2 linked regions of the Arabidopsis thaliana genome follow. The protein of the gene in region 2 interacts with the protein of the main gene of each other region in a biochemical or structural test. Each region holds a gene or a part of one and is shown on either strand. Other genes may lie near its edges.

Region 1 (8,277 bases), on a different chromosome or scaffold from region 2:
TTTAGTATCCATTCCATAGGTCGGCTCATTCTATTCAAGTATCACTTCCTAGTTCCTACGTTAAAATAATTCATAGTTGTTTCAATGTCGTTTATATAATCTAGTTGGTTATGTGTATAAAAACACTTAGCAAGTAACTGTTTCTCTGAGATATTCTGCGGATTCAAGTGTAAGAATCTTTTTTTGCAATGTTTTTCATATGTTTATCACGTTTTGCACTGTTCATCAAAGTTTTCGGTGCGCTGCAGAAAACTAGGTCAAATGCATTATGCATAGCGTTTAAAATATGTAATTAGTCCCACCCATTCATAGTTTAAGACAAAGACTAGCAATTAGAGCATATATAGGTCCAACCTTACAGGATTGAGAAAAACTCTATAGTACAACATATTCGATTCAAATAATGTTATCTCTGTACTCAAGTTTTTTTGGACCACGATATATATTCCCACTTAAGTACTAATTTTGGGACCATATATATATTCAGATTAACAATGTTTGATACAATGCATGAATGTGTCACTTTACGTCCAATTCTGAAGTCAGTGTCAAGTTATTACAAATACATTCTCTCTCTGGACCAAGACAAGTTATTACAATACATTATACAATGCATCATGAATGTATCAATTCCTTTTTGCTTACTGATTCTTTGCATTATTTTACGAGGGTAAAAACAATAACAATTTTATTAATTTTCAACCCATAGTTTTTATTTTTAAATTGTAGTTTTTACAAAACTAAACAACAAAAAGACGTAACGTCTTTGTAAGATTTTCATGTGGATTTAGGGTTTTAATCGTCTGCTTTGTCTACTCACAGCGGGAATTCTTTCTGCAAGAGATCGAGATTCCTTGACTCACAAGCTTCTATCATGTCTTGCCTTGATGCACAACTGCATTATGTTTTAACAAAGTTCCAAAATATCAACTGACTTTGTAAGAAATCGCATCGGAATTTAAATGGCGTTTTTCGAGTTTACGAGCTTATACTGTACCTTAACGAGAGTCTCAAGTATTGCCATGCGTTATCAGCTTTAGGATTCATCGCAAGGGCACGGACATAATACGGGATTGATTCTTTGTACATCCCCTGTTACAATAACAAACATGATAGCATACCACATTTCAGTTGGTTCCAGTCCATAAACAACCATCAAACAAGAAACAAAGACTGAAATCAAACCTGGTTTGCGTAACTGATTCCCATGTTTGCCCAAGCACGAACATAATTTGGTTTTAAATCTAGAGCCTGCAAGTAAAAAAACAGTCAGAAAGAGACGGAAATATAAAACTTTGAGAAGTTTTGATTTCTGTGCGTAGAACAGAACCTGTTGATAAGCAGATATGGCATCAGCACTCTGGACACTGTTGGCTTGCGTTGCACCTAGCTTATTCCACAGAGAATAATCGTTTGGTTTTAGTTGTAATGCTGTTTGGAAGGATGTGATTGCTCTATCGAACTCTCTCGACAGATTGTAGAGCACGCCCAACACTATATGCACATCGGCGTCCTCAGGATTCAACTGAGAAGCTTCATTGAATAATCTAGCAATCTGTTTATAGCATAGACAAGGAATTCAAGTTTCAATACAAATATTGAGATTCAACTGTGGAGAATTTAGAAAAGAAAGAGCACTTACATCAGCATGGTACAAAGAATCCGCTAGCTCCGGAGGCGCAATTGCTCCATACTTTGGGTGATTTCGCAGCCATCCATATAGATATTTCAAAGCAGTTGCTTGCTCTAACTCTGTAGTTACAGAGAACAAGATTTTAATTACCAATCTAATTCCAAAAAATGTATGACCACAAGTATCCATATATGTGAACAAAACAAACACATATTGCTAGATAACATGCACTGACCGTTGGTATGACTCACACCAAGCGCAAGAAGCACCTCTAGATTTGTGGGATCAGCCTCCTGTGCACGCATCATTGCAGCTATTGCCTGCATCCACAACGACAATTGTTTTGAAAATTGACTAAGTTTCATCATTTTGATAAGGTATAGGAGATTAATATTCATGCAAATTAATCTAACTAACCTGTTGATCATCATCGTTCTCTGCGTGTGTGACCCCAAGTAATCTCCAACCTTCAGCATTCTCAGGGTTTTTCATAACCTCAGCTTCTAGAGCAAGCGCTGCTTCACTCAGAAGTCCTTTTCGAAACAATTCTTGCCCTTCTTTCATAGGTTCAGGGTGACCCACATAAGGATTCATGTCAGAGAAGACGTAGACACCACTGGTTTGTTTTCCAGCATTTTTCTCATTCAGAAACCTAGAAAGGCACATACTTTTGTTAGATGAACTTAAAAGTCAAAGATGCATGTTGGATAAACATTGTTAGACTCCATAGATAAAAATTAGGAGGTTATCAGAAATAATCCCTTAAACAGGCGAATCATAATGGTAGATATGAAACTGCATAGTTGCAAAAATAGGTTCGCCTAAGCAAGGATTAAGGAACCAGAGAGAAATGCATAGGGGAAAAGTAACAAATAAGTTGAAAACACCCATTGTGTCTGCACTTACCTACCCCCACAAGGATAACAGAATGGAATTGAAAGGGAACTTATAAGATTTGTGAAGAATGAAAAAAAGAAGAAGAGAACTTAAATTATAGATCAATTAGAGTACAGTGGACTTACTCATCGTAAGCATTTGCCCATGCATCAGCTGAACTATCACCCACGGGACCTTCAGCAAATTCATCTATCCAGTCATCAACATTCAACTTTGAAAACTCATTAACCCATTGGTCCTCGGCTGTTTCTTGCTGTCCTCTCCCGGAAGCAAACTCATCAGCCCACTGTTCTGGTCCATGTGAAAGCTGTAACACACCAAAGTAGAAGCTTATGTTAGATGCAGGGTGATGCGTCTTATAAAAGAGAAAAAAGAGATGATACGTTGTCAATATACTTTCTAACATGTCAGGACTTCAGATTCTGTAACTATAAGGAACCATTGGAAAAATGTGCAAAGAGAGATCTAAGCTGAAGCCTTTCCACTATAGAGAGGTTACAGATATAAAATCACGAGATTACTAAACCTATCATCATGAGCTTCAATTGCGGATACAAAGGCCATCCAAGACAAAGGTATACCAATAAATCAATTACATTAGCATGCTAAAGTGGCAAGTAAGACCCTAAAGTGAACAGATACTTCATTAAATAAATACATACTTTCTCATTTGCAAATTGATCAGCCCAACTTGGTGGCCCCAGATACTGCTGTTCATATTCAGTAGCCCATTCCCCGGGGGCTGAAGCTTGCTTGACCTGATTCTCATCAATAATAAGTTCACCACGGCTCATCTTGGAAACAAACTGAAGGAATCTTGAATTCTGCATTCACCAAACATGTTTGCCAAGTTTTACATAAATCGAGAACAGCTCAGCACATGAAGTCAACAGGAAAAGCATAATTAAAATTTGTGATATGATTTCAGAGATATTCGAATTCTAGAACATAGACCAACAAAAAAAAATTCTATGTTCAGTAAAAGATCACAGCCCAGAAAAGAGATATGTCGTCCAACAGTACAGTTTACAGCAACCTGACCGACTGATACTACTATCAAAGGCTGTTTAGAAATGAAGGAATTCACTTCGAAAGCACATAATTATTAATGGTAGGTTATACTGACCTGAAATTTCGGATTCCCATCTTGAGATAGTGTATGGGCAAGCTTACGAGTCTGCTCCATTGCAGCTATATTTTGCATATCCATACTTCTCATTTGGCTTGACATCAATTGAGATTGACCCTTTAGAAAGTTCAAGAAAATAAAAAGGATGAGGCGCCAAATATTTTCAGAAGAACATGATAAATTATCAGAAAGCCAAGCTGTTGGGATATCAAATGCGACTCAAACACTGATGACTAATACAGCATAAAAAAAGTCACAACAGATTCAGGCTTGTGAACAACTATGCCCTAGTGACTATCGAAATCAAAGTCTACACTACCAAAATAAATGCCCTCATAATGTCTTTGATACTCATTGAAAGCTTATAAACATATGTTTGGGATGGGCAATCAAAGAGAAGTTTCAAACAACTGAAGGAAAAAGTTTCTATCATATAGCTATTTATGCTAGTTACCTGCTCGAACTCAGTAGCCCACCCATTCACACCATGTTGTTGCTCAAAAGACTGGACCCATGAATCAGGACCACCATGATCCATCCCATGTTGGTTAAATTCAGCCGCCCAATTGTCAGCAGGATGTAAATTAGGTTTCACAACAGCTTGAGACTCATTCCAGTAATCATCTAGCTCCCGAAATCTCCCGGGAACATGACCTCGAGCTTGTATCCCATCATCAATATCTAAAGATGACAATAATGCGTTTACCTTGAAAAACAATGCCGAACAAAATATTCAGCCAACGACATGGAGAAGAGAAAACGGCTTAGGCCATCGGCAACAAACAAAAGGCTTAACTATACTGCACAGCTGGCATGGTCTCGAGAAATCCATACTAGATAGGAACAATTACCAAGTAAAACAACAGCTATAATTCCCAAACAAAAGCCCTGACCCACAGATGATTGTGATATATGACAGTGACAGTGCTACCTCGTTGCATTCCAAAATGTTACATTTTGATTTAAACTCAAGATGAAGGAGAGTGGACCTGAACTTTCTTGTAATTACACTTCGTTATATAATTGAATAGATCTTGATTTCAAAAGGGCAATGGGCATGAATGATATAACACCAAAATATTAAGTATATACTCGACCCTTAAAACCTAAGTTGAAAGCATATAACACAATGTTGCAGCTACAGAACACTATCAGATAAATGGCAAACCTGAGAATTAATAAATTCCTCTCCCCTATCGGCAAAAAAATGCCGGGCCATTATGCTACTACGATCACGTATACATTGTTTGTCACTTTGTGACAATCCTAGAACTGGAACAGGTGCTGGACGAAATGGAATACCACCACGGCTACTCTCAACAAATGAATGCAGAAAGTTTGATAAAACTCTCTGTGGGGGTCCTGCAATATATAAGCAATGGAAAAACTAATCAAGCAAGCAAACGAAAAATGCCTCACTCGACATTAGGCTATATAACTAAGACAGAGCTATGAATATTCAACGTGTCATTCAGGAGAAATAGGACTCATGGAAAGAAATGACCACACTATTTATTTCATGTCGCTATACTAAATTACTAACTAACACTTTCAGTGTTAACTTCTCTTCCTACAAAAATAATGTTATGTACTTCTCGATTCAAGATGAATATGTGAAAATATATACTACCTTTTATTCAATATCAAAACCACTACATCTAACCGTTTTGTATCCGGGATTAAATAAAAGTGGTATAGATCAAATCACAAACCTTCAAATGTAGGCTGAACTGGCTCAAACATAGGTCCCATTGGAGGCATAGGTCCACCTTGCTGTACCTCATCCCAAGCTGCACCCAAACCATTCTGATCAACAGAGCGAAAACCACGGAAGAACTCTGACCCCTAATGTAAAAATTGCAAACCCATCAGCCATCACAGAGGCTAGATAATCAGAGTCAATACTACCATTGTAAAACCAAAACTTTCCACAACATTAACCTGAGCACCCGGTTGCAGAAGTGGCTGATCTAACTCAGAACCAGGAAGTGACCTTATCTGTTGGTCTTCAGAGTAAAATTGTGGCCGAGGACCTGACCGGTTTGCATTAGGTATCTCCTTGAGCCTTTCCTGCACAACAAATCACCAATCATCAACATTTCTTCAAATTCTCAGGAAATTTTAAACCTTTAAACAATTGTCAGCCAAATCACTTGACATAATCGAAGAACGTCTAAAACCCTAACACTACGGAAAGAAAAATCGAAACTTGGCAAGCAAATAACAAAACCCAACGAAAAATGAGATCTAATTCGACTTCTTAGTTCCAGGAGAACCAAGGAAAAGGCGAAGAATGGAATCAGGAGACTTCAAATGTCAACACTGTTTCGATCAAAAAGGAATCAGGAAGCTAACCTGGGTTTTGGAAGACGAACCAAGTAAAGCGTTGGTGAGAGCTCCGAGAGGATTAGAAGAAGAAGACGAACCAGGAACGGCACAAGCGGCTCCGCCGTTAACAAGGTCTCTCATCGCCATGTTTCCAACGGGTTTCTACTCCTCCGCCGCAATCACCGTCGTTGAATCTATCAGTATGGTTTCCTCCGTTGTCCGGAATTGATCATCAACCTCCCAAATCCTAATCTTTAGTTTGGCTCGTCTCGTGGCGGTGTTTTTTTTGTTTGTTGTGTTTGGTCACAGCTTCGTAAGAAATTATTAAATTTTTTGATAGTATTTTGGTAATTAATATTTATATATTATCCACACCACACACATTTTTAGGCTCACCAACACATTTTTGTTTAGTTATTTATTTTTGTGAAAAAACCGTTTTTTACAGTATCCGTAATTAAAAATGAATTGTTGTGAATATAGTTTTTTTTTATCTTTCTTTATCAAGATATGTTTTATCTTTTTGTCCGATTTGCTGCCACTTTTGAATTTTGTAGTTTCCTATTAGTGTTGAATTATATTTGCTTGATCATACCAAAGATAAATAAATTATATTGCTTGATTTTTGCTGGGTTTAGTTATATTTCTTGATTGATTGTGCAATGCGTTACAAACGAAGGTAGATTCTACTCTTGTACTCATATCACACATTTGGACGACCAACATGACTTCACTAATTTCATCAATAACTAAAAAAAAAAAAAAAATTCATCTACATCAACAATAGTTACAATATGCTAGGCATCTCTAGATTTTTTTTTCCTTTCATTAACTTGCAAGAATTTACACACTAGAAATCAAACATTTTGTGGAAAAAATTATAACCTTTAGTCTAACCACTGAACTATTGAACTTTCATATTGAAAAATTTGATGAATGTTGTCTGTTTTCAAATTTCTAGTACATTTTTTGTCAACTTCAGATATCTGATTTTATGAGTCTCAATCGTTTGGTTTATCTTATTTTCGTTTGTTAATTAATATAATTAGTTTCCAAAATGAAAAAATGTAATTGGAAAAACAAGTCATGAGGCCCAACCGCATATATAAGTCCTACGCTCGGCCCATACAGAAAAAACTAATATCCATATAGTTGACCCGGAAGACCCGATCTAGGATCCGAATCCACATTGATTTAAATAAAAAAAATCTTCATAAAAAAACTAAAAACCCAAAAACCAAAGAATTCATCAAAGGAGAGAGAGATCGACAATGGCACCTTCGTCATCAAGCGGTTTAACCTTCAAGCTACATCCTTTGGTAATCGTCAACATATCGGATCACTACACTAGGGTCAAAACTCAGCTCAATCCTCCTGCTTCAATCTGCGCAAGCGGCCATGGCTCAAACAACGGCGAAGCAATGTTCCAGCAAAACCCTAGGGTTTACGGATGTGTGATCGGTGTCCAGAGAGGTCGTACTGTTGAGATATTCAACAGTTTCGAGCTTTTATATGATCCTTCTACTCAAACCCTTGATAGATCTTTCCTCGAGAAGAAGCAAGAGCTCTGTAAGCTAAAGCTCACTCTTTTTATTCTCAACTATTGATGCAATCGTAAATTAAAGTTTGAACTTTTATCTGGTTTTATTGTTTATTAGATAAGAAGGTGTTCCCTGATTTCTATATTCTGGGATGGTACTCTACGGGAAGTGATGCTGAGGAATCTGATATGCATATCCATAAAGCTGTGAGTCCAATGCTCTCTCTAGTATTTTTGTATAATTGAGATTTGGTCTCTAAAAGTGTGGTTTTTGTGTCTGCTCTTGGTGACAGTTGATGGATATCAATGAATCTCCTGTTTATGTGCTTTTAAACCCTGCTATCAATCACACACAGAAGGATCTTCCAGTGACTATTTATGAAAGTGGTATGCTTCTTATAATGTCATATGGTTCTGTGGGTACATTCTGATATGTTAGCATGTTAGTATAGGTATATGCGTAGTTCAGAGTTTCTAGATATCTTCCCAAGTCTTTATCTTTATTGACTTCCAGATTTAGGTCAGATTGTTTTACAAGATCCTAACTTTTCTCTTTGTTTCATTGATTGATCTTCATTACTTGAAGAATTGCATGTCATTGATGGAATCCCGCAGCTAATTTTCGCTCATACAAGCTACACAATCGAGGTCTGTGCTTAAGTTTGATTCTGCAAATAATTTTTTTTTTTTTTGTCAAACATTCTGCAATTTAATCTATGTTATGAAAGTGTACATTGACTAAGATTTTGA
Region 2 (4,044 bases):
TTGGTCAAATCCTATTGAACTATAATATACTATTATTATAGTTTATTGGTGCTAAGAATGTGAACCAAAGTGATTAGTTAGCAAGTAATAACCTTATTGCACACTATAATACTTTCTTATATTTCTTCTAGTATGGTTACGTTTTAGTGTTAAACTAAAAGAACTGACAAAAAGAAAAAAATTAGATATAGCCATTAGTTATAACTTATAGCTCATGATGTCACATATGTATCATGTGGCTTACATTTGTTCAATTATCCCAGAGATAGTGATTTGTTATCCATAAGCCATATCACTAACCTTTTTTATGGACAGATTCCAAGTCTTCAAAATAAAATTTCAACTACATGTATTACTCTACATAATAAGGTTGGAAGCTGATTTATGCAACGAAGCCATCTTTTTTATACTTCCTACGATCTTTAAATAAAAATGCTCAGAGGTACAGAGGACACAATCCAAGGTGAAATAAAAAAGTGAACCAAAAATTAACGAAATAGAAGTGTCTTAAAATTAAGCAGATAGAGATAGGGAACGAAGAAATAAGATCGTTGAACAGAAAAAACTTGAAACAATCTAGTTTTGCTCTTGGGCTTCTGCAGCCTCCTTCTCTTCATTAGCTGCAGCCATTAGTTCATCAAACTTCTCAGACTTGGCAAGCGTGATCTCAATCTACAAGTCACAGTGTCACCAATTTAGCAACCAACATAGCAATTTCCCAGAGAACAAAAATCATTAGACGGAAGCTAGAATTCCACAGCATAAGCAATTTATCAAATGATTCGAAAATATATACCTTAGCTTTCTGCACAGGACGACCCCTTGAATCATCCTTGATATCCACAGTCGATGTCATGATCTCTGCAGGAAAAAACAATATCCAAATAAGCAAAACTTAGTCACTGAATCTTTCAAATCTCTTGTGCTAACATTAACTCATTCAAGATTAAGAAGATCTTACTCTTTTCAACAGCAAAGCCATTGTTCTTCAATATCTCAGCGACCGTAACAACAGTGGCAATAGCTGCACAACGCACAAATCAATGTTTTATGAGAAACCAGAATAAACTCTTCCAATAAAGAAAGCTCGGATAAGATATTACAAAATCACAGAAGATAAAAGATTCTATGTCATAACAATAAAAGGAAACAGCTTTTCTGATAATAACTTTGAATTTAATGAACTCAGTTACATAGTTTAAAAACCATACATATTAGATTTGATATATAAACAAGATCATAAAGAATAAACATTACCCATTCCTAGTGCAGACAATTCGACATCAGTGTACTGCTGCATGTACCTCTGTTAACAAAACACCAAACATGGTCAATAACATAAACAGGTTTAATCAAATCTAAAGAGCAAAACAAAGTTCACAAATCTAAGGAACAAACATTGATAAAGAGTCACATAAACAACACAGAACCACCAGTAATAACTCATCAAAGTCAATAACAGATAAATTAACACTCATGAACAATCACAGACATTTCCAGACTTGGTACTCAAATAAGAACACTTCGAATCCATAGATTTCAATCTAAATACGAATTTATTAAGATTCGATTAAAAGGGTTTCGTTACCTTGGCGAGATTGACGTAGAAGAACAATGGTTTCTTAGTGTTGGAAACTTGAATCCGATTCTTCTTCTGGGTATCAACAGCCAAGTTCATGTTGTTAACTCCTTCCGTGATCTCTTCCATTGAATCTAACTCAGAAAAATTAAAACTTCTCCTCTCGAATTTAGATTTCTCTCTCACTTTTATCTCAGAAAACGAATGAAATTGAAGAGACAGAGAGACGACGATGAAGCTTGAACCAAACCCCCAAAAAACCCTAACTTGAAATGCCAAACGACATCGTTTTAACACAACCTACACAAATGGGCTAGGCTCCAGCCCAATAGGCCCAATTGGGGGGAAAATTAATTCTGCGATGAGCAAAATCGGCGTTATCCGATCAGATCGTTGAATTGAATCTTCGAGAAGACTCTTCTTTTGATTCAATCACTCACCGGAGAAGAAGAAGAAGCTATGCCGGTGTTCAAAGCTCCGTTCAATGGCTACTCTGTGAAATTCAGTCCATTCTACGAGTCACGCCTCGCCGTCGCTACAGCTCAGAACTTCGGAATTCTCGGAAACGGCCGAATCCATGTCCTCGAGCTCGCTCCTGGAGCTCCAGGCGTAACTGAATCCGTCTCGTACGATACAGCCGACGCTGTATACGACGTATGTTGGTCAGAATCTCATGACTCTGTGCTCATCGCCGCAATTGGTGACGGCTCAGTGAAGATTTACGACACAGCTCTTCCTCCTCCTTCTAATCCGATTAGATCATTCCAAGAGCACGCGCGTGAGGTTCAATCTGTGGATTACAATCCCACGCGGCGCGATTCGTTTCTCACTTCTTCGTGGGATGATACGGTTAAGCTTTGGGCTATGGATCGTCCGGCGAGTGTAAGGACTTTTAAGGAACATGCTTATTGCGTTTATCAAGCAGTTTGGAATCCTAAACATGGTGATGTGTTTGCTTCTGCTTCTGGAGATTGTACTTTAAGGATTTGGGATGTTAGAGAACCTGGATCAACTATGATCATCCCTGCTCATGATTTTGAGATTTTGTCTTGTGATTGGAATAAGTATGATGATTGTATTTTAGCTACTTCTTCAGTGGATAAGACAGTTAAGGTTTGGGATGTTAGGAGTTATAGAGTTCCTTTGGCTGTGCTTAATGGTCATGGATATGCGGTGAGGAAGGTGAAATTCTCGCCGCATAGGAGGAGTTTGATAGCTTCTTGCTCTTATGATATGAGTGTTTGTCTTTGGGACTATATGGTGGAAGATGCTTTGGTTGGTAGGTATGATCATCATACAGAGTTTGCTGTTGGGATCGATATGAGTGTTCTTGTTGAAGGTTTAATGGCGAGTACTGGTTGGGATGAGCTTGTTTATGTTTGGCAGCAAGGGATGGATCCTAGAGCCAGTTGATTCATAAGTAAGTTTGTGATTGCAAAACAGTTTCATCTTTATTTGTTGTGGAATTGGTTTGGTTTTTGTTAAAGGAATGTAGTTGGAATAAAGTTGGGATCTTGCTTAAGAAGAAATGTAAGTTACTGAGAGTTTCACATATGAACAAGGTTATCTTTCGAATTGTGATTGATGGTAATAGTAGATAGATTGCTTATGTTCTAGTGTATATGTTAACCTGTTACAATGAGACCTGATTAACATATATATTAGGACTAAGATATATGTTAATCTTCTATAATGTCCAAAGTAATGACATAATATATATAAAGTCAATTACTTTAGGGTAATGTACCTTTTATAGTATACTGTAGAATTCGAATTTTGTTCTTTTTCATAGTTGATTGACTTTATTGAGTGGCATAAATGTACATATTTATAACTTTCTAGAGCATATTGCAGTTTCGAGCTTTTGCATTTTATGCGTCTTCAGGTAGAAGCTTATTAAAATCACAAGAACATTCTTACGGATCTTCCATTTCAAGAATCACTTTCTACTTATTACTTTACTATTATACCACTCTCTTTTTTATCTTATTCCATAGTATTAAAGATTCTTTTATTTTCTTATGATTTTTTTTTTAATATAGTACTCCGATCCCAAACAAAAGATCTCAAAACACATTTTGTCAAGTCACAAGACTCACAACCGTCTCAACTTTTGGACTAAATTCAAATCAGACAAATAATTGGGTTAAACATATGAAAGGGCTTGACATTATATCATATAGTATTAAAGTGAACTATAATATTGCTTTATCCACGAGGTCAAGAACATACTATATGTAATAGACACACATTAGTATTGACTTTTTATGTTAAAACTAGAGATTAAATTTTGTGAATTTAAATGACACATGTACGATCTTTTACTTTTGTTGTGATGCACGCGGAAGATGTTGCGAAGGATTAGAAATTGTTAAAAGAGAAGAAGGTGGTAGACTGCTCTTCATTTAGGAATATTTCTGACCATAAAACTTGTGGCATGGAAGATTATTCCTAAGAAATTATAC

What was found.
Region 1: the proteins of PEX7 (region 2) and PEX5 form a complex in vitro, tested with the Arabidopsis thaliana proteins (one study listed by BioGRID).

What each region holds. Positions count from the first base shown.
Region 1 is NC_003076.8:22,784,512-22,792,788, reverse strand, and holds PEX5 (peroxin 5), read right to left. Parts: upstream 6,294-8,277; 5' UTR 6,135-6,293; coding exon 6,015-6,134; intron 5,730-6,014; coding exon 5,601-5,729; intron 5,505-5,600; coding exon 5,372-5,504; intron 5,022-5,371; coding exon 4,828-5,021; intron 4,366-4,827; coding exon 4,114-4,365; intron 3,777-4,113; coding exon 3,657-3,776; intron 3,355-3,656; coding exon 3,193-3,354; intron 2,838-3,192; coding exon 2,656-2,837; intron 2,286-2,655; coding exon 2,051-2,285; intron 1,954-2,050; coding exon 1,869-1,953; intron 1,753-1,868; coding exon 1,643-1,752; intron 1,556-1,642; coding exon 1,331-1,555; intron 1,252-1,330; coding exon 1,186-1,251; intron 1,093-1,185; coding exon 998-1,092; intron 896-997; coding exon 817-895; 3' UTR 483-816; downstream 1-482. Other genes in the region: CSN6A (COP9 signalosome subunit 6A), read left to right, coding at 7,259-7,556, 7,646-7,734, 7,821-7,914, 8,114-8,175. UniProt on the Arabidopsis thaliana protein: Receptor that mediates peroxisomal import of proteins containing a C-terminal PTS1-type tripeptide peroxisomal targeting signal (SKL-type).
Region 2 is NC_003070.9:10,222,885-10,226,928, forward strand, and holds PEX7 (peroxin 7), read left to right. Parts: upstream 1-1,930; 5' UTR 1,931-2,038; coding exon 2,039-2,992; 3' UTR 2,993-3,438; downstream 3,439-4,044. Other genes in the region: AT1G29250 (Alba DNA/RNA-binding protein), read right to left, coding at 577-672, 797-861, 962-1,024, 1,258-1,306, 1,589-1,708. UniProt on the Arabidopsis thaliana protein: Receptor required for the peroxisomal import of proteins containing a C-terminal PTS2-type peroxisomal targeting signal. Specifically binds to cargo proteins containing a PTS2 peroxisomal targeting signal in the cytosol.